Saccharomyces cerevisiae S288C: one gene and its partners. Changing the gene in region 3 together with the main gene of any one other region gives a genetic interaction. Each region holds a gene or a part of one and is shown on either strand. Other genes may lie near its edges. The genes, in order: UBC7, HAC1, STE24 and CNE1.

The links.
Region 1: mutations in STE24 (region 3) and UBC7 together harm fitness more than expected from each alone (negative genetic interaction), as found in Saccharomyces cerevisiae (5 studies listed by BioGRID, with this or other methods).
Region 2: mutations in STE24 (region 3) and HAC1 together harm fitness more than expected from each alone (negative genetic interaction), as found in Saccharomyces cerevisiae (6 studies listed by BioGRID, with this or other methods).
Region 4: mutations in STE24 (region 3) and CNE1 together harm fitness more than expected from each alone (negative genetic interaction), as found in Saccharomyces cerevisiae (5 studies listed by BioGRID).

What each region holds. Positions count from the first base shown.
Region 1 is NC_001145.3:316,694-319,677, forward strand, and holds UBC7 (E2 ubiquitin-conjugating protein UBC7), read left to right. Parts: upstream 1-1,986; coding exon 1,987-2,484; downstream 2,485-2,984. Other genes in the region: FMS1 (polyamine oxidase), read left to right, coding at 1-210; MAC1 (Mac1p), read right to left, coding at 472-1,725; MSS1 (Mss1p), read right to left, coding at 2,744-2,984.
Region 2 is NC_001138.5:73,467-81,898, forward strand, and holds HAC1 (transcription factor HAC1), read left to right. Parts: upstream 1-1,712; coding exon 1,713-2,373; intron 2,374-2,625; coding exon 2,626-2,681; downstream 2,682-8,432. Other genes in the region: protein kinase RIM15, read right to left, coding at 1-961; AGX1 (alanine--glyoxylate transaminase), read left to right, coding at 3,365-4,522; cyclin-dependent protein kinase-activating kinase CAK1, read right to left, coding at 4,589-5,695; putative ATP-binding cassette family ATPase CAF16, read right to left, coding at 5,878-6,747; GTPase-activating protein GYP8, read right to left, coding at 6,953-8,432. UniProt on the Saccharomyces cerevisiae protein: Transcriptional activator involved in the unfolded protein response (UPR) pathway. Recognizes and binds to the UPR element (UPRE) in the promoter of UPR-regulated genes such as KAR2, PDI1, EUG1 and FKB2.
Region 3 is NC_001142.9:640,383-646,818, forward strand, and holds STE24 (zinc metalloprotease), read left to right. Parts: upstream 1-1,624; coding exon 1,625-2,986; downstream 2,987-6,436. Other genes in the region: YJR115W (uncharacterized protein), read left to right, coding at 1-69; TDA4 (Tda4p), read left to right, coding at 443-1,282; ILM1 (Ilm1p), read right to left, coding at 3,108-3,719; JHD2 (histone demethylase), read right to left, coding at 3,922-6,108. UniProt on the Saccharomyces cerevisiae protein: Proteolytically removes the C-terminal three residues of farnesylated A-factor mating pheromone. Also acts to cleave the N-terminal extension of the pheromone. Does not act on Ras.
Region 4 is NC_001133.9:35,762-39,472, forward strand, and holds CNE1 (calnexin), read left to right. Parts: upstream 1-1,702; coding exon 1,703-3,211; downstream 3,212-3,711. Other genes in the region: BDH1 ((R,R)-butanediol dehydrogenase), read left to right, coding at 1-542; ECM1 (Ecm1p), read left to right, coding at 748-1,386; GPB2 (Gpb2p), read left to right, coding at 3,498-3,711. UniProt on the Saccharomyces cerevisiae protein: Interacts with newly synthesized monoglucosylated glycoproteins in the endoplasmic reticulum. It may act in assisting protein assembly and/or in the retention within the ER of unassembled protein subunits.

The DNA of each region.
Region 1 (2,984 bases), on a different chromosome or scaffold from region 3:
TGGACACGCGATCCTTACTCACGCGGTGCTTATTCGGCCTGTTTTCCAGGAGATGATCCAGTTGATATGGTTGTTGCAATGTCTAATGGTCAAGACTCCCGCATAAGATTTGCAGGCGAACATACTATCATGGACGGCGCCGGCTGTGCCTATGGTGCTTGGGAAAGCGGAAGACGGGAGGCGACTCGAATCTCTGACTTACTGAAATAGAATCTATTTTTTCGAAATTACTTACACTTTTGACGGCTAGAAAAGGATATACATACATATTAAAATTTTTAGTAACACTCTGTGCTTTTTCAAAAATTTGAGGTACACCTAATTCTCCCACTTGTTGCTTATACCAAGTTTGAACAATTTTAATGTTAAGCACAATAGATTGGAATATTATCATATGGTGGTTCAGAGAGTAGTAGGGTGCATTTTCATTCCTGTTGCCTCAATGTGTTTTCTATCTGTATTTACGTGATTTTATGAAGTGGTGGCATCGCTTAGATGTGGTGCATAATTAGAGACTAATTTTTGAAACCACGCATGAATGTCAAGTAATTCTAACTGAGCATCTGTCATCAATGGCACTTGCAACTTCAAAAAATCCCACCAATATTTTGACGGCACCAATTTACCTTTGAATTTTATTTGAGTTTTCCTTGTTAATCTTGCATTCAGAATTCCATAGAAAAAGAATTTTTCAAATGGAATTATATTTGTAGAGTGAGAAAAACATCCATCACAAGTGCAGTTATCCGGAGGACATATGCATTCCTTGTCAGTGCATTTACAATCATCCAAATAATCCATCATCTTATCAGTAATTTGAGCTTCACCAATATTGGTTAAAGGAACACCACTTTGTTGAATATAAGAATTCAGTTCCTCTTCGCTTCTATGGATTAGACAATTAACACATGGGCAGCTTTCATCTTCACAAGAGCACTGCGTGCTTAAAAAAATGCCCTTATGAGTCAGGACTTCAACTTTCGAAGCAACGTCGCTTGAATGAGGAGCAGCAATCGTTGTTGTACTTTGTGGGGTGAGTGTTTCTGAACTGTCATGCGCACCAGGAACAGAACTATTGTAGTTTTCTTGTAAAATATCGTTAAAAGCGGACGTAGATTCCAAGGAGCCGTATGGCGTAAATATGTCATCAGACGGTGCCTTGTTCGTCTTGCCATTAGAAGCTGGGTTCTGTGATTTATCTTTCTTACAGCAGTTTGAAAAATGTCGTATAGGCTCCTGTTGAAGCCGGCTTCGCTCTTTCTTCTCACTTGAAGAAGATGACTTGGTAGAGTCCGGAGATATTGTTCCTGTTGCCGGAGCTTTGGGAGAGTGTTTCCTAAGAAACTCCGTTTCGGTGATATATTTGTTACCATCATCGGTAAATGTGCTAATATCTTTAGGCTCATGAGCAGTGAAACCTTCCTCCATTAATATATGCAATTTTCCGTTTATCATTCTTGCCTTTCTAACAGCAGAGGCACGTACAAACAGTATTGGCTGTTGATTCATTGCGCTGCAGCAGTCACCTTCAATTTGTGCACCATTTTCGTATTCTGTACTTTGCGATGTAGAGTCTACTAAAATAGCGTCTCTGATAGCCATGGGTGAAGGTCTTCCTCTAGTTCTCACCTTAATTAGCATTCGGTGAGAATGCCTGCATGTTGAAGAGCGATGCCCTCTGATGCACGATGCACACGCATATTTGTTCCCATTAAATATTATCATCTCTGATAGAGCTTGAAGAACTTACCAGACTGTTTCAAGTTTAAAACAAGGCGCCTCATCGCATCTACCTCACGAAGATGCAGCAGCTTATTGTCTCGAGATCCTTCTTATAACTCCTTTTCGCCATTACCCGAAAACGAGATTACAGCCTCTAAACCAAGAGCTCGAAAAGCGCCAAAGTAAACTCTGGCGTTTAGCGTACGAAGGAGATTATCCTAAAAGGAACTTCCCTAGTAATAGTGTAATTTGGAAGGGCATAGCATGTCGAAAACCGCTCAGAAACGTCTCCTCAAGGAGCTTCAACAGTTAATTAAAGATTCTCCACCTGGTATAGTGGCTGGTCCCAAATCGGAGAATAACATATTCATTTGGGACTGCCTAATTCAAGGGCCTCCAGATACGCCATACGCTGATGGTGTTTTTAATGCTAAGCTAGAGTTTCCTAAAGACTATCCGTTATCTCCACCTAAACTTACTTTCACACCCAGCATACTACATCCAAATATTTATCCAAATGGGGAAGTGTGCATATCCATTCTACACTCCCCTGGTGATGATCCTAACATGTACGAATTAGCGGAAGAAAGATGGTCGCCAGTGCAAAGTGTAGAAAAAATTCTATTAAGTGTTATGAGCATGTTGAGTGAGCCCAATATCGAAAGTGGTGCCAACATTGATGCTTGCATCTTGTGGAGAGATAATAGACCTGAATTTGAGAGACAGGTAAAGTTATCCATTTTGAAATCATTAGGATTCTGAAAGCAGGTAGCAGGTTAATGATCATTTGGTCTTCCTTTTAACTGTTCTCTATATACATAAATAAGCATATCTACCATCTAAAAGAAAGCAAATGTCACATAATAAATATGTTAAAATCTCAATGTCTTCCTGGCTTTTCAGGAATTCAAACCATTTCCATTTCGTTGGTGTATAATCAGGGGCCCCTCTACTCTCACCTCTCTGTACCGAAGCGTTAATCAATTTTCTTTTATTTATATACACGATGATTGTAACTAGGTTATTTTCCTATACAAAATTTGCTGAACACTGAATCTAAGATTTCCTCAATACCAATAGCTTGTCCTGTTATCTTAGCTATTCCATCGGATGCATACCTCAAATTTTCTGTGGCCAATACTATATCATTATGGAAATCTTTGGATTTGAAAAACTCTTCCAAGCCGTACAGTACGTCGTTTTTGAGAATCTCTGACACTCTTTTGGAAACAATGACAGGACTTGCATCGGCACTTGATTGA
Region 2 (8,432 bases), on a different chromosome or scaffold from region 3:
TGGCGTCCTGACACAGCTCTCTTAAGGAGTCTAAAACTTGGTTAAGGAAGTTGTTGGAACGTACCTGTATCTGACTGCCCTTATACTCTGAATCTTTCGTGAAGTTTGCCAAGATCGCCTGTTGCTCAAGAAGATTATCGTGTAGTAATTGTATGAGCGATTCCGTTCTATGCTCGCAAACGCAACTTTGCGAATGGGTCTCCAACCACCAAACAGGGACAAAGTTCTCACAGACCCGGCATAGTTCCATTTTTGGCAGAGGTAGATTGAACTCGTCTATTATCATTTCCAGTCGTATTCTCTTCAAGTACTGCACGAAGATCTTAGCGCCGAACCCAAGCGTCTTGGCGAACTCTTCGGGAAGTTGGATATCGATATCGTCGCAATTATCGGATAACTGGATGACCATGTCGTCTTGAGCGTCTTCGTTGGCATAAAAGTCTGACCAGTCGTTTGTGCGAGGCTTGACTATCCACATCGTGTGAGAGGGCAACTGTGTGTGGCCATCCCTGATTAAGATACCACGTGCTTCCAAGGTCGTTATCGTACTTTCATCGTCACAGCCTGCGCTACCTTCATAGTCGGCTGCCTTTATCTTGAACGTTATAGTGCAACTGGTGTCATCATTCATGAGCAGCATGTCTGTGGCCTTTTGAAAGACACCTTTATCTTGATCGGATCCGAGAATAAGGTCTGCAATGTACGTCGGAGAAGAGCCACTATCATCGGCGACTCCTGTGATCGTGTTCCACTGTGGAGAGCCATATCGCACCTTGCCGTCCAGTTCCAGCTCCAAGATCATACACGGATTCTTCTCTGTGGCCAGCTGCAGATATTTTTCATAATTGGAGGAAGTCAATGAGCTTGGGTTCGAATTCGATGATATCGGGGAGAGCTTGTTTATGCCAAGTCCCTCTTTCATAGCCTGAGATCCGCCTGCGGTGTTACTTCTATTGAACATCTGTCTTCCTCTACTGGGCTTATCTATTCTATCAAATGAGGCAAGAGAAAGGAAAGGGAAAAAAAAAAAGGGAAAATGCTTGATGAGTTAGGAATTCAGTAAAAGCACCCACCAGAACCTCTACAGCAGGCCTTCCAGGAGTGGTTAAGAGGATAGAGAATTCTGTATATATATATACGTCTATATCTATACAAAAAACGGCAGACAATGCAGAAGTTGAAAATGCTGTGATACGAACAACAACTTATTTTTACAATGAAAAACAACACCAAGCTGCCAAAAGCTGTATATTAAAGTTAAAGCTCCCTCATTTTTAGTAAGGACGCTTTCTTTTCCCACAAAAGGGACGAGGAAAAAAAGAAAAACCTGGAAATATAGTCACGTGACATGAATAAACAAGACCTAGGGCAATATGGAAAAAGAAGCTAGGATAAAAATACATTTATGAGGGTTGTAAGGCAAAGTGGCTCAGCATTAAGTAGGGCTAAAAAGAGTCGCAAATATACATCGTACCGAGTGATGAACGTGGTTTTGAACACCTTGTTCTCTTTTGTTCTCGCTCCCTACATTCACTATATATTAGAAGAAATTTCACCTCAATGGACAACTCGAGAAATGAATACAGAAATATGTTTTTTAGCGAAATTTTCCTTTCTTCTTGTCTTCTTGTTTTATTTAAACTTCCAAGGCTTTAACTCAGTGTCAAACATAACAACCTCCTCCTCCCCCACCTACGACAACAACCGCCACTATGGAAATGACTGATTTTGAACTAACTAGTAATTCGCAATCGAACTTGGCTATCCCTACCAACTTCAAGTCGACTCTGCCTCCAAGGAAAAGAGCCAAGACAAAAGAGGAAAAGGAACAGCGAAGGATCGAGCGTATTTTGAGAAACAGAAGAGCTGCTCACCAGAGCAGAGAGAAAAAAAGACTACATCTGCAGTATCTCGAGAGAAAATGTTCTCTTTTGGAAAATTTACTGAACAGCGTCAACCTTGAAAAACTGGCTGACCACGAAGACGCGTTGACTTGCAGCCACGACGCTTTTGTTGCTTCTCTTGACGAGTACAGGGATTTCCAGAGCACGAGGGGCGCTTCACTGGACACCAGGGCCAGTTCGCACTCGTCGTCTGATACGTTCACACCTTCACCTCTGAACTGTACAATGGAGCCTGCGACTTTGTCGCCCAAGAGTATGCGCGATTCCGCGTCGGACCAAGAGACTTCATGGGAGCTGCAGATGTTTAAGACGGAAAATGTACCAGAGTCGACGACGCTACCTGCCGTAGACAACAACAATTTGTTTGATGCGGTGGCCTCGCCGTTGGCAGACCCACTCTGCGACGATATAGCGGGAAACAGTCTACCCTTTGACAATTCAATTGATCTTGACAATTGGCGTAATCCAGCCGTGATTACGATGACCAGGAAACTACAGTGAACAAGAACACTAGCCCCAGCTTTTGCTTTCTGCTTTTTTTCTTTTTTTTTTTTTTTAGTCGTGGTTCTCTGATGGGGGAGGAGCCGGTTAAAGTACCTTCAAAAGCAGAATGCAGGGTTATTGGAAGCTTTCTTTTTTTCTTTTATGCTAGTTTTTCCTGAACAAATAGAGCCATTCTTTTCTTATTACTAAGAAATGGACGGCTTGCTTGTACTGTCCGAAGCGCAGTCAGGTTTGAATTCATTTGAATTGAATGATTTCTTCATCACTTCATGAAGACAATCGCAAGAGGGTATAATTTTTTTTTTCTCGTTATTATCGCTGTTGGTGGGTTTTTTCTTTTCATATATTTCTTTTTCGCTTAGTGGTTTCTACTGTTCTGTCTCCGGTTAGTGTGTGCTACTTCAACCGAAGAAGAAGAGGCTTTTCAAGAATGCAAACGTGAGGTTGGCGCGCCCTCCTACAATTATTTGTGGCGACTGGGCAGCGACACTGAACATAGCTCTTGAACAAGACCCTTTTTTGGCTGCAAGGAGCAAGACTGGCTGGGGTTCCACCTCAAAGAGCCACGCTCTGCTTTTTTTCTATCTGTTTGTGTCATATCTATCTGTCTATTTATCTATATATATATTTTTTTATATAAAACTATAAAGAATTCTTGATGTATGCCCTTAGGTTGGGCAGCTTTTCAACCTTAGACTTGATGCTAACGCCGCTCTGTTCCTTCTCCCGTGCTCCCGCAAGCGAACATCTCCCCCTAACTCCGGGCCAATGAGTGATAACTATATCAAATACCTTCGAAAGGACCTTAGTCATCATATCACTCTCACTCTCACGGCTCTCTGTAGTCCTCCTCGAGGAGTGGCCAAGAATGTTCTGTTCCGCAGTCTTTATATAATCGCACTGGTTGAAGACGAAAGCTCATATAATTCTTTTTCCATAGCCTAAATACACCAACGATGACTAAATCTGTAGATACGCTGCTGATCCCAGGCCCCATTATCCTAAGCGGAGCAGTCCAGAAGGCCCTGGACGTTCCCTCTTTGGGCCACACCTCTCCTGAGTTCGTCTCTATTTTTCAAAGGGTGCTAAAGAACACAAGAGCTGTCTTCAAATCCGCTGCTGCCTCGAAGTCTCAGCCTTTTGTGCTTGCCGGCTCTGGTACGTTGGGGTGGGACATATTTGCCTCGAACTTTATTCTTTCGAAGGCCCCCAACAAGAACGTGCTGGTCGTATCCACTGGGACATTTTCTGACAGGTTTGCTGACTGTCTGCGTAGCTACGGTGCGCAAGTAGATGTTGTTAGGCCCCTCAAGATAGGCGAATCAGTTCCCTTAGAACTGATTACTGAAAAGTTGTCGCAAAATAGCTATGGGGCTGTCACGGTTACGCACGTTGACACTTCAACGGCAGTGCTGTCCGATCTGAAAGCCATTTCGCAAGCGATTAAGCAGACTTCGCCGGAAACGTTCTTCGTAGTCGATGCTGTATGCTCGATTGGATGCGAAGAGTTTGAATTTGATGAATGGGGGGTGGATTTCGCCTTGACTGCTTCGCAAAAGGCTATTGGCGCTCCAGCGGGTCTTTCTATCTCGCTATGCAGTAGCAGATTCATGGATTATGCACTCAACGACAGCAAAAATGGTCATGTACATGGGTATTTTTCCTCGTTGAGAAGATGGACACCAATAATGGAAAATTATGAGGCTGGTAAAGGAGCTTATTTTGCAACCCCACCCGTACAACTAATTAATAGCCTTGATGTAGCCTTGAAAGAAATTCTCGAAGAGGGGTTGCATAAGAGATGGGATTTGCACCGTGAAATGAGTGATTGGTTTAAAGACAGTTTGGTTAATGGCTTGCAATTGACATCCGTCAGTAGGTATCCTTCTAACATGTCTGCGCACGGGTTGACAGCCGTATACGTAGCAGATCCTCCTGATGTCATTGCTTTTTTAAAGTCACACGGTGTAGTCATTGCCGGAGGTATTCACAAGGACATCGGACCCAAGTATATCCGTATTGGACATATGGGTGTGACCGCTTGCAACAAGAATTTACCGTACATGAAGAACTGCTTCGACTTAATAAAACTAGCTCTTCAGAGGAAAAAGTGATTACCCTCGTACTTTTCATTTCATATATATATATATATATATATATGTACCTATATATTCTTCTTATTATGGCTTTTCTAATTCTTGCAAGATTCTTTGACAGCTCCATCTTTCGTTTGGTGAAAATGAAACCATCCCCAGGATACAATTAATGAACTTCTGCTTGACTTTGACATCCGCAATCTCGTCCAGTCGAGGCATATTCCTCTCAACAATGCTAATCTGTACATCTTTCTCCTGGTCCAGTACATACTTGCCATCGCCATCTGCACCAAACATACCAACAAATGCATCAACCGAGCCGTGTTGCGCAACCTCTTCCCATTTCTGAATGGACGGTATGCCCAACTTTTCGAATATTGAGCAAATCAGTCTGAAATCGCTTCCATCTGAGTTCATGTCGTCGCTGCCGTCATCAATCATGGCCGGAACGTGCCCCATACGGCTTGTTTCTCTCTGGAACCACTGAGAAATAATTATCAACAACGACCACACGTCCACGCCACCATCATAGCATTTTACTCCAAAAAGCACTTCTGGGGCCTTGTAAATTCCTGTGCTTATATCCGTCACCTTGCTATCCATGGGTTCCGCACTTGTTTGTGAGTTATTTGCCATGTCATAAGAGATGCCAAAATCAATTATGTACAACTTTGGGGATACGGTGCTGGTATTGTTTGTTAGCATGATATTTTGCGGTTTGATGTCGCGGTGAATGATCTTGTTCTCATGTAAGAATGCAATCCCTTCAACCATTTGCCGGAAAAAGGACAAAGAATACCGATTGACGTCCAATTGATTAGTATATTTCTGAACGGGGGGGTCCGCAACAATTGGGATACTGGGATTTAGCAAATCGTAATAGGGATTTTTTTTTCTTCTATCTCTTTTATAGTGCATTTGCATGAACTCATAAAGGTTCATCTCTTCAAAGGGAAACAACAACAATAGGTCATTATTATCGGTAGCCTTAGACTCTAGAAGAGGTAAGATGTGCTTACATTTGTTGCCCAGTTTGTTTAATATCGATACTTCGAATTTGGCGTTATGTGGCGGGATATCGAAATCTAGTGCTAGACATTTAATGGCATATGTATCCGACCTATAAATCCTAGCAGTTCTAGTAGATTTGACCAACTGACAGTGTGTAATGTCTATACTATCCAGTTTCATTAAGATGGGCGTGAATTTTGTTGCCTCTCTTCTTCATCTGGCCTCTTTGCTTCTATGAGACTTCTGTCGTTTTCCTTTTTTTAGGATCACAAACTACTTCTATAACTTAAATAGTCAAATCACATTTTCCACTAAGATACATATTTTCTATACAGGGGGTCTTTGCAGTTATATATACTCAGTTATATACCAATCTCTTTGTCAGGAATTTGATTATCACGTTTCAACCATTCTAGTGCTAATGGATGCAAACTATTCACTTTACTAATAACAACCTTATTGTTGTCATTTTCAAAGGCCACTTGTCCATTAACTTTAGCATTGACCACTTCAGAGAACTCTACGTCTTTCTGATAATCTAAATTATCCACAATCTTACCTGATTTCATATGGTATACTTGGTTAGGCCATTTGGCCAAGCCGTCAAAAATATGTGTAGCGTAGACCACTGAGCATCTTCTGGTTTCGGTCTCCCACTTTAAAAACTCCAGAAGTCTTGCTCTGGCAATAACATCGAGATCCACAGTGACCTCATCAAGTAGTAAAACTCTCCAAGGTTTCAAGAGCCCCATGGCTAACTGAACTCTTCTCTTTTGTCCATCACTTAACCTGTGCATTCTCCAACGTACATCGATGTCCAGGATTCTAACCAATCTTTCACCTCTTTCCCTAAAATGATCGAATCCAATACTTTTTAATAGTTCCAAGACGCCGATATCCCTATTAATGATACTCATATGGCACCATTCCGTACCTAGATAAGTGGTCGTTTGGTAGTTCGTCGAATCTTCAACACTTTCATCATCGTCCACTTGATTCATAGATAATGGACTGAATGGATCAAGACCATTGACCAGGATTTTTCCATCAAGGCAAAGATGCTTACCGCTTAGTAATTTCAAAAGGGTGGATTTACCAGCACCATTGGCACCCACAACTAAAGATCTTGTATTCCATGGGATTTGAAGATTGATATCAACAACTGACGGATCGGAGCTTTCTTTGAATTTGTACGTTAGGTTACGCACCTCAATAGCAAATTGGGAAACCATCTTGAGAGTTATCTAATATCTTGATATCTTATGCAGGAGTACTGGTTTTCTCCATACTAAAAATCTCTCTTTCAGAATTTTCGTTTTTTCTTATTTGAGTCATCCTCGAAGAAATTTCCGCAGCGAATTTTAAAGAAGCACTTTATAATAATACCTTACATATGAGTTTGTTTCTATGTCATGGGTATATAAGGTATATTGTATGCTATCTAGTTGGATGCCCCAGTTTCAAAATGTCCCTAATCGGATCCACCCAGATGTGACTAACGTGGTGCAAATTTATATTTATATGTGATAAGTCTTTCAACTTTGTGGAGATCATGTAACGTAGATTGAGTACTAAACTCAACGACCTTGTAGTCCGTAATTGGTACAGGATAGCTACAATCCCGATAAGTAAAGAAATTTTGCTCCACCTGTTATATTTGGAGGGTAAAAAATGGCCAAGTCTTTGGACCAACGCCCTTGTCTTGGATCTGGCGGCGACACCATGATACTTTTCTTCCTTGTAATGCTCGTTCATCTTTGTTTGTTCGCTCAAATAGAAGATAATGGTGCTCATATCGAAGCATCCTGGCTTTCCACATGCTGTATTGAGTAATGCACTATATTTATTAAGACTCACCCGTTTCAAAGCCTTCTTGCTGGCAGTAGTCGCATCTTTTCTAGTTATTTGCAAGACTTCTTCCCAAAGCGCCTCATCATACAGTTTTTTCTGTAAAACTGTTTGTATAGCACCATGGCGCAGGTCAAAATCGTTCTCGAAGAAATCAGAATTAGCTTCTATTTGCTTCGAAATTTCAGACGCATTTTGCAATAGCAGGTTCTTGTATATGATCAAAGGTAAACGCATAGATTGCATCGATATTGTCATGTCAAATATCTGGAAAAGAATTTTATGAAGATTGTTGTCACCGCTATCTATAGGTTTCAAATTATGTGCAAAGATTGTCAATATTGACCCAATAGCGAAAAGGGGCTCATTTTCGTCAAATTTGAATAGATTATAGAATTTCATGTTTGATTCCTTTATCAATGAAGAGATTACTCTCAATTGCTCAAATGAAAAATCTAGTGAGTTCATCATGAAATCCCTCAGATATAATAGGGTAAATGCTTCGATGCAATAAAACAGCCTTTCCATATCAATTTCTTCTTGCAATGAGAGATTTTCTAGTTCCAGTCCGTTCTCTTTTGTGACATTCCAACTAAAACACATGATGAAAACAGACACAATATCATGATAACCTTGGTAATAGTTCAACGTTGGGTACTTTCTCAATACCCGAGTAATTAACTCCACCAGTAGTTTTCTCAATTGCAGTTTCAAGTTTTTGTCGACAATTCCACCAAAAGACCTTTCTGCATCCAATATCACCTGACCTTCATCTTTATGTTTTTCCACTGGTGTAATGTACTCTGTTGCATCATCAATAAGCAACTGGGACGCCAATAATTCATACCAACAATCTTTTCTTAATGAGTTGTTTACAAACCCCAGAGGCCCTAAACCTATGTACCTCAAAGCTCGGACATCTTTTTTCTCTAATAACTTTGATATAACTTTTCCTTTTTGTTCTTCTGCCTTTCCACTGTCACAACGAGAAAGTGATTCCAGATATGCGTTATAACCTCCCCTTGTCAACGCGTCTTTGTCGTGGCTACTCTGATTAGTATGAAATAAT
Region 3 (6,436 bases):
TCCGCTTCCCCAGCATCCAGCGACTCTTCTCCTCTCACTAATAACATCCGGCCCATTAGCATTATGTGATTAGCATGCATTTTCCCCTTTTCCTTTCTTAAGAACATTTTTACGACGCGGATCTGCCCGTCATCGCATACGAATGTTGAATCACGCCAGAATCACCAAAGAAAAAAACTCGTTCAGTTCCTAGGTTTTATGAGCCAGGAACAATAGACTTTTATCGCATATTATTTCTATACGTGCACTTATATATGCACACATATGTTTATATACATATACATACATACGTGTTTCTTTTCAGCCTGTGTTTTTGTCGGGTCCAAAAACATACAAGGCAACATAATATTTTGACATAACTCAACGCAACATAACAGTATAAAACATAGTTTAATAAAAGAGAAAAAAAAAACAATATTTTTAAGCTATCGCTCTTGCCGCAATGAACGCCAACTCTACCACGACAGCAATCGGCCTCACCAGCCCCTTCGAAAAGCTGTCCTTCTTCCCTCATTCGTCTAATTTAATACTGGCTCATTTGCATGAGATCATCTTCAGCTTCGTCTTCTACCAGCTCGCATTCTCCGTTGTCGCACCGTTCTTGAATAAAGTGGTCTTTCGCAAGCACTACACCACGATCCGTGACCCACTGCTGAAAATTGATTTCAATGTCCACACCGTCTCGATGATCCAGGCTGTCGTCTCGAACACCGTCCTGTTGCCCACCCTCACGACGCCAATGCATTATAATGTTGTCACCTACACAGATTCGTACAGTTCAATGGTATCTTCCCTCAGCGCAGGGTACTTTATCTGGGACTTGACTATGTGCGTGCGTTACTTCAAGCTTTATGGTCTCGAGTTCACGGGCCACGCCATTGGCTCCGTATATGTGATGCTGTTGTCCTTAAGACCGTTCTGCCAACCCTGGATCGGCAGGTTCCTTATCTACGAGGCCTCCACTCCCTTTGTGAACATCAATTGGTTCATCATGCAATGTAACGCCAAGAGCAAGAACTCTATCCCTCTGTGGTTTAATGTCGTCAATGGCCTTTTGCTCATGACTGTGTTTTTCGTCGTCAGGATTTGCTGGGGCTCCATCGCATCCGCTCTCTTATTCAGGCAGATGTGGAAGGTAAGAGACGAGTTACCCAAGTTTTCTGCTGTCACGATGATGTCGCTGAACATTTTCATGAACCTTTTGAACGTGCTTTGGTTCAAGAAGATGATTAGAATCGCCAAGAAACTTGCAAAACCAGCCCCAACGTCGAAGCTAGACTAAACCTACCTTTTTTTCTATCTTCAACAACGAAACGCCTTACACACACACACACATACATCTACATACATACATACAAATATACATATATGTAAACTTGTATATTCATTCCTATTAACCAAAAAGAGGCAATTAAACTTTTCCCTCTTTTTCTACGTCATTTACTCAAAAACTCTAATTCCTTCGTCTCTGTTCTGCCATTTTCTCCAGAAAAAAATCGACGGGAAATAAAAAAAAAAAGACAACGAACAAGAGAAAAAGTTCGCGAATTATAAACCACTTCTATAATTAACAGGAAAAGGAAGGAAAAAAAAGGAGGAAATAGAAAACTGCAGGCCTTTATTCATGTTTGATCTTAAGACGATTCTCGACCATCCTAATATCCCGTGGAAATTAATCATTTCTGGGTTCTCGATTGCCCAATTTTCTTTCGAATCTTACTTGACGTACAGACAGTACCAGAAGCTATCTGAAACAAAGTTGCCACCTGTGCTGGAAGACGAAATTGATGATGAAACTTTTCATAAATCAAGGAACTACTCCCGGGCCAAGGCCAAGTTCTCCATTTTCGGTGACGTCTATAACCTAGCCCAAAAGCTAGTTTTCATCAAATACGACCTCTTCCCTAAAATCTGGCACATGGCCGTTTCTTTATTGAATGCAGTCCTGCCAGTCAGATTTCATATGGTCTCCACTGTCGCACAGAGTTTATGCTTCTTGGGTCTCTTATCCAGTTTGTCTACCTTGGTTGATTTGCCACTCTCTTACTATAGCCATTTTGTCCTGGAAGAAAAATTTGGTTTCAATAAATTGACCGTCCAACTATGGATCACCGATATGATCAAGAGTCTGACTTTGGCGTATGCTATTGGTGGCCCAATCCTTTACCTGTTCCTTAAGATCTTTGATAAATTCCCTACTGATTTCCTTTGGTACATTATGGTCTTCTTGTTCGTTGTCCAAATCTTAGCCATGACAATCATTCCAGTCTTCATCATGCCCATGTTTAATAAGTTCACTCCATTGGAGGACGGTGAACTGAAAAAATCTATTGAAAGTTTGGCCGATAGAGTTGGGTTCCCTCTAGATAAGATTTTTGTCATTGACGGCTCAAAAAGATCTTCTCATTCAAACGCATATTTCACAGGTTTGCCATTCACCTCCAAGAGAATTGTTTTGTTCGACACTTTAGTGAACAGTAATTCTACTGATGAAATTACGGCTGTTTTGGCCCATGAAATCGGTCACTGGCAAAAAAACCACATCGTTAATATGGTCATCTTTAGTCAATTGCACACCTTCCTCATTTTCTCCCTTTTCACCAGCATCTACAGAAATACATCATTTTACAACACCTTCGGCTTTTTCTTAGAGAAGTCCACTGGCAGTTTTGTTGATCCCGTTATCACTAAGGAATTCCCCATTATCATTGGATTTATGTTATTTAACGACTTATTAACTCCACTCGAATGTGCCATGCAATTCGTGATGAGTTTAATTTCCAGAACTCATGAATATCAAGCTGATGCTTATGCTAAAAAATTGGGCTACAAGCAAAATCTATGTAGGGCTCTAATTGATCTACAAATCAAAAACCTTTCCACCATGAATGTAGATCCTCTGTATTCTAGCTATCATTATTCCCATCCAACTCTAGCTGAAAGATTGACCGCTCTAGACTATGTTAGTGAAAAGAAGAAAAACTAATCTATAGAGTACACATATTAGCATGTACCGTTAAATTCAGCTTCGTTATGTCTATATCTACATACATACACAGGTATCTACTATAAGAATAAAGGAAAGAAAAAATAAACGATTAAACATTTTATTTTTTTGCATCGCTATCATCATTACCTTTCTCATTGTTATCATCATTATCTTTCCCATCTTCATCGTCATTTTCTTCATCATTGATTATTTCAATGATTTCTGTGGTTTCAGTCTTCACGGTAAATGGTTGGGGTTCTTCAATATCCTCATCATTAACCATGAATTGGTTCAATCTTTTGAACTCTTCATTTTTCTCCTCCCTAATGGCATTATACAAAAGAAAATTTATCCAAACTTCTGCAAAACAGTAAATAAAAACAGAGTTATTGTGAACGTAAAAGTTTGACTCCCAAAGGTACGAGATACTTGTCAAAATAAAAAAAATTAGTAATCTAACTGGCACAACAGATTGGAAGTATTTAACATTGTTTTCTAACAGGGGAATTAGATCATGAACACCGTTAAGAGTAAACAGAAGAGCGAAAAGACCCAATTGACCACTATAACGTGACAGTGTTAACTGCGGTAAATTCATCGCTTGCGTTAAGACTATGAAATATGTATTTTGCAAAATAGAATTAACGTTCTTTAAACAAAAGAAGGCGATCGTGAATAAAAATGCTACTCTGAAAAAAGCAATATTGGTGGAGTTCAAGGCTTGAGCCATTTTCTTAGAATTTATTCTTTACTTTTGCTGAATGCGATACTCTATTATGTTGTAAATTGTTACACTACCATTCAATTGTCTCTCTTTAAAGATTGATCGACATTATTTTCTTTACTTTTTTGGTGTTTTCGCGCTAAAAGTGGCGTGCTAAATGCCAAGTATTATTCTAAAAAATCATTACGCCATACACAAATATTGAAGACTATCTATCTAACTTAACACCAACTTGCTTTATTAAAGAGTCAATATCCTTCAAAGACTTAGTGAAATACAATTCATCGTCAATATAAGGTTCTTCACCGTCGCTATTGTTCAAGTTTTGTATTGATTTTAAGTAATCCTGCGTACACAGGATACTCACTTTACTGTCCGTCGTGGATAGTTCATTCCACTGCCTAATACTTAAATGGTTTTTCTTGTGTCTTTTATACGTTCTAATTGAATCATAGTTATTCTTTCGCAATACAAAGGCTATTGAACATATAGTCTTACATTGGGAACAAAATATATCGTATTCCTCATCTTCATCGTTTGGATCAGTATGCACCTCCAAAAGAGTTGTCCGTGGTACAATGGCCTGAATTTTCCGTATGCGTTTTAATTCAGTATTATAAAAGACGATCAATGAAGAGTAACATTGCCTAACAAAAGCATCATTGAACAATAGAGTATCTTTATTGTACTTGTCCAAAACATTGATCATTAAATCAAACATATCAAAAACACATGCTTTCTGAGTTAATTTATAATCCGTAATCGCACCAAATCCATATGGTAGCCAGAAATCTATAGTAAAATTGACAGCTTCATTAAAATTATAACCTGTATTAAAACCAGCATGGTAACATTTAGGAAACGTGATAATATATTCGTTGGGCTTTTGCACAGCTTTGTACACAGGAATACCTGATTTCTTGAAATTTGGATCGTACGGAGATATTAAAGTCACTAGCTGATGCAGTAGGTCTGGTTGTTTGATAAATAAGTCTGGTGACATATCATTTAATAGATCGTTGAATTTCGTACATCCCGATTCGGGAATGCTGTACCAGACCTTAGGGTCACCTTCATGTTGATAGTTAGCACTTAGGGTATACTGATCTTCCATATGCCAACAAAATGTGGAAAATAAGGAGCCTATGTAAATCCAAGGAATAGTCATGCCAGAAATATTTCTTTTAAATAACGGTAATAGCGAATTATGAGCCATAGGCAAGTTAGTTAAATTCATAGGATGATCGCAATATTTGAGGTAGTCTATCAATTCGTCCCCATTTATATTTTTGGGTATAAATTCTCTCGTCGGAAAGCCGGTAATTTGACCTGGCAATTCGTTATGTATGTCAGCACCGTATTTAACTGTCGTTAATGAACTGCGACGATTCTTGGTCACTAAGCTCCAAAACATCTCTTCCAACTCATCTATAGACAGTTTTCGTGCTGGTAATAACCTTGAATTTTGACGTTTACAATATTCTTGAAACTCTGGTAGAGAATAGTCATGCGTGTCCTGAGTGAATCCGTAATATCCGTTTCCGACGATACAAGTGTTACAAATCCAATCGCCAGAGGGAACACGTTCCAAAGGTGGTGATAAACAATATATATGGAATGGTTTGTCACATGAATCACATAAAATTGTTCTTTTTGGATCATTTGTCTTGCGACAAACAATACAAGCATCATCATCGTCCTCCTCAAAATCCGACCCAGAATTCGAATCTGGCCCAAGATCGAAATCGTCCTCGTCATCACTTAATAAGGATTTTGGATACTGGTCAGCATGCAGCGCCGTGTGCACGTTCTCGTTCAGTGAATGAAGAAATATGTAGTATGAGGCAATATATTTCTCAAAAATTTCCTTTAACAAGCCGATTGGTACGTTGAATTTTTTAGAAATGGTCCTCCATAGACTGATGTCGCCTCTTAATTGGGAAATATCTCTAAATTTCAATTTTCGCCTGAATGACTGTGTAGTGTCAGTAAGTGTCCGATTGTCTTTTATTAGTTCAGAGAAAACGTCATAAAAGTACACTTTTTTTTTTAGTATTTCCGATGCATGAGTAGAATCTGAATATTCTACAATCGTATAAGGTTCCCTAAGTATAAGTTTCGATGGATCCTTAACGGATCTTTTAAAATTATTTAACTGTTTCATAAAAAATAGCCTACACCTATTTTTCAGGTCTAGGTTCTCCAGATTTTGAATTCTTGGTTGAAAAGTAAAATTTTCCATATCAATAGAAAGTGGCGGGCAGAACCCGTTTGGTGGTACGACCTTGACCATACCATATCGTACACCAAGCCTTTTAATGTGGGGGTTAGAGAGATAATCGATCGGATTTTTGAATTCTTGTTCCGTTGGATACAGGGCAGGAATTTCCTCCATGATAGTGATACGTTTTTTGTGCAAGATGAGATTAGTTAATATGATCTAGAGGTAAAATTGACTAAGTAGTCAGATCTTATTCTACATTGAGCCTGCGTTGTCAACATGCACATCTCTGTCTCTTGGGATGATAATTTTTCAATGATGATTCCAGGGTTACTTTAACGTTACACAAAAGAAATTAATTAGTGCGGCTGTTTCTGTGAGCGGGGCAGTAAGTCCGAAGCCCTTGATATTAGCCCATACCCTACACATTTTACTCGTTTGCCCTACATCAGATAAAATACTGGCCCTAAGCCCTCCTAATCTCTTCTGGTTACACCTAGGG
Region 4 (3,711 bases), on a different chromosome or scaffold from region 3:
TGTGTACCATTTTGGTACTTAAGGGAATGGGGGCTAGTAAAATTGTAGTGTCTGAAATTGCAGAGAGAAGAATAGAAATGGCCAAGAAACTGGGCGTTGAGGTGTTCAATCCCTCCAAGCACGGTCATAAATCTATAGAGATACTACGTGGTTTGACCAAGAGCCATGATGGGTTTGATTACAGTTATGATTGTTCTGGTATTCAAGTTACTTTCGAAACCTCTTTGAAGGCATTAACATTCAAGGGGACAGCCACCAACATTGCAGTTTGGGGTCCAAAACCTGTCCCATTCCAACCAATGGATGTGACTCTCCAAGAGAAAGTTATGACTGGTTCGATCGGCTATGTTGTCGAAGACTTCGAAGAAGTTGTTCGTGCCATCCACAACGGAGACATCGCCATGGAAGATTGTAAGCAACTAATCACTGGTAAGCAAAGGATTGAGGACGGTTGGGAAAAGGGATTCCAAGAGTTGATGGATCACAAGGAATCCAACGTTAAGATTCTATTGACGCCTAACAATCACGGTGAAATGAAGTAATGACAAAATAATATTTGGGGCCCCTCGCGGCTCATTTGTAGTATCTAAGATTATGTATTTTCTTTTATAATATTTGTTGTTATGAAACAGACAGAAGTAAGTTTCTGCGACTATATTATTTTTTTTTTTCTTCTTTTTTTTTCCTTTATTCAACTTGGCGATGAGCTGAAAATTTTTTTGGTTAAGGACCCTTTAGAAGTATTGAATGTGGGAACAAAGACGACAAAAGGTAGTTTTTTCCTTGACTATACTGGTAAGATATCGTCTAAAACAAAGCATGGCCAAGAAAATATCAAAGAATTCAAGAGCTGCTAGACAATCGGATGCTCTTGAACCAGAGGTAAAGGATTTAAGTGAACTACCTAGAGCTGAAAAAACCGATTTGACTAATATTTTGATTAGAACAGCAGCCAAGAATGAGGCATTGCTGGAAGCAAAGATATCTAAGAAAGCCAATAAAAGTAAGAGGGGCAAGAAGTTAAATAAAAAGGCTCTGGAAGACAAACTGGCCAACTCTATTTCATCCATGGACAGGGATCGTTTAGTGAAGGCCTTGAATTTTACCAATCGTCTGGACGGTAAAATTGCCAAGTCCATTTCTCGTGCCAAGTACATTCAAAATACAAGAAAGGCTGGCTGGGATAGCACCAATGAGACTATAAAAAAAGAGCTGGCTTTTTTGAACGGAGGGTTGTCTGTGCAGGCAAAAAGTGCTAGTGAAGGTAATGCTGAAAAGGAAGATGAGGAGATCCCAGAAGTTTTTGACTCTTTAGCAGAGGATAACACAGTGCAGAAGACTCCTACAAATAGATTCGGTGTCCTGCCAGACGATGTTGAAGAATAGAAAATTTTCATATGAAAGGTCCTAGGAATACACGATTCTTGTACGCATTCTTCTTTTTTCTATCTTCTTTCATTCTTTGTACATTAGATAACATGGTTTTAGCTTAGTTTTATTTTATTTTTTATATATCTGGATGTATACTATTATTGAAAAACTTCATTAATAGTTACAACTTTTTCAATATCAAGTTGATTAAGAAAAAGAAAATTATTATGGGTTAGCTGAAAACCGTGTGATGCATGTCGTTTAAGGATTGTGTAAAAAAGTGAACGGCAACGCATTTCTAATATAGATAACGGCCACACAAAGTAGTACTATGAAATTTTCTGCGTATTTATGGTGGCTGTTTTTGAATCTAGCGTTGGTGAAAGGCACTTCATTGCTATCCAACGTTACATTAGCGGAAGATTCTTTCTGGGAGCATTTTCAGGCTTACACTAATACAAAGCATTTAAACCAAGAGTGGATCACAAGTGAAGCCGTCAACAATGAAGGCTCTAAAATATATGGTGCACAATGGCGACTATCACAGGGTCGATTGCAAGGATCCGCATGGGATAAAGGAATCGCAGTTCGAACAGGCAATGCCGCAGCTATGATAGGACATCTCTTGGAGACACCTATTAATGTTTCAGAAACGGATACCTTGGTTGTCCAGTACGAAATTAAGTTGGACAATTCTTTGACGTGCGGCGGTGCGTTTATTAAGTTAATGTCTGGTTTCATGAATGTTGAAGCATTAAAACACTATGCACCCGATACAGAGGGTGTCGAGTTAGTTTTTGGTCCGGATTATTGTGCTCCTGAAATAAATGGCGTGCAATTTGCCATCAATAAGGTTGACAAGATCACACATGAATCTAAACTAAGATATTTGCAAGAGATGCCCCTGTCAAAATTAACTGATACCTCGCAATCTCATCTGTATACGCTCATAATAGATGAATCAGCGCAGTCTTTTCAAATTCTTATAGACGGTAAGACGGTTATGGTAAGAGAACATATCGAAGACAAGAAAAAGGTCAATTTTGAGCCACCCATTACACCGCCTTTAATGATTCCTGATGTTTCAGTAGCGAAACCGCATGATTGGGATGATCGCATCCGAATCCCAGATCCTGAGGCGGTGAAGCTCAGTGATCGGGATGAACGAGACCCATTGATGATTCCACATCCAGATGGCACTGAACCACCAGAATGGAACAGCTCCATCCCCGAATACATTCTTGACCCAAATGCTCAAAAGCCCTCGTGGTGGAAGGAACTTGAGCACGGGGAATGGATACCGCCCATGATTAAAAATCCTCTTTGCACTGCAGAACGTGGTTGTGGCCAGCAGATACCAGGGCTGATAAATAATGCCAAGTACAAAGGTCCAGGCGAACTCAATGAAATCATAAATCCCAATTACATGGGGGAATGGCATCCACCGGAAATTGAAAACCCGCTATACTACGAAGAGCAGCACCCATTGCGCATCGAAAACGTTATCAGTGGTGTGATCCTCGAGTTTTGGAGTGGATCTCCAAACATGTTGATAAGCAACATTTATGTTGGTAAAAATGTAACAGAGGCGCAAATTATTGGGAATAAGACTTGGCTGATGAGAGACCGCGCGTTTAGAGGCTCCGATGGCCCCACAGAACGCAAATTCATGAATAGCAGACTAGGAAATCTACAAACAACTTTCCATAACGAAAGAGAATCCCCTAATCCATTTGACCGCATTATAGATCGCATATTAGAGCAACCTCTGAAATTTGTGCTTACTGCGGCCGTCGTGCTCTTGACGACGTCGGTTCTTTGTTGTGTAGTATTTACATAGTGGACAAGTGTTAGTTTATAACATGGTCTCAATAATTGCACCACAACGGCTTCTCTTTTATAGATGGTTAACATTATAGTATCAATATTATCATCATGATTAAATGATGATGTATAATACTTACCCGATGTTAAATCTTATTTTTTCATGCAGTAAGTAATCATGCAACAAGAAAAACCCGTAATTAAGCGAACATAGAACAACTAGCATCCCCGATAAGACGGAATAGAATAGTAAAGATTGTGATTCATTGGCAGGTCCATTGTCGCATTACTAAATCATAGGCATGGAAATTTCCAGTTCACCATGGAACGACGGTGGATACAGCCCCTATGAGAGAAACAGAGTCGCTGTATCACCATTTTCATCAGCGTTGGAAGGCGAAGAACGAATAGAAACCTCTCGATCTTTGGGTGATCATTGCTTTGAACCTTTGCCATACGTGACGAATTATCTTTCTATTTTCGCGCTTTTTGGTAAAGAGATATTTGGTGACAAGG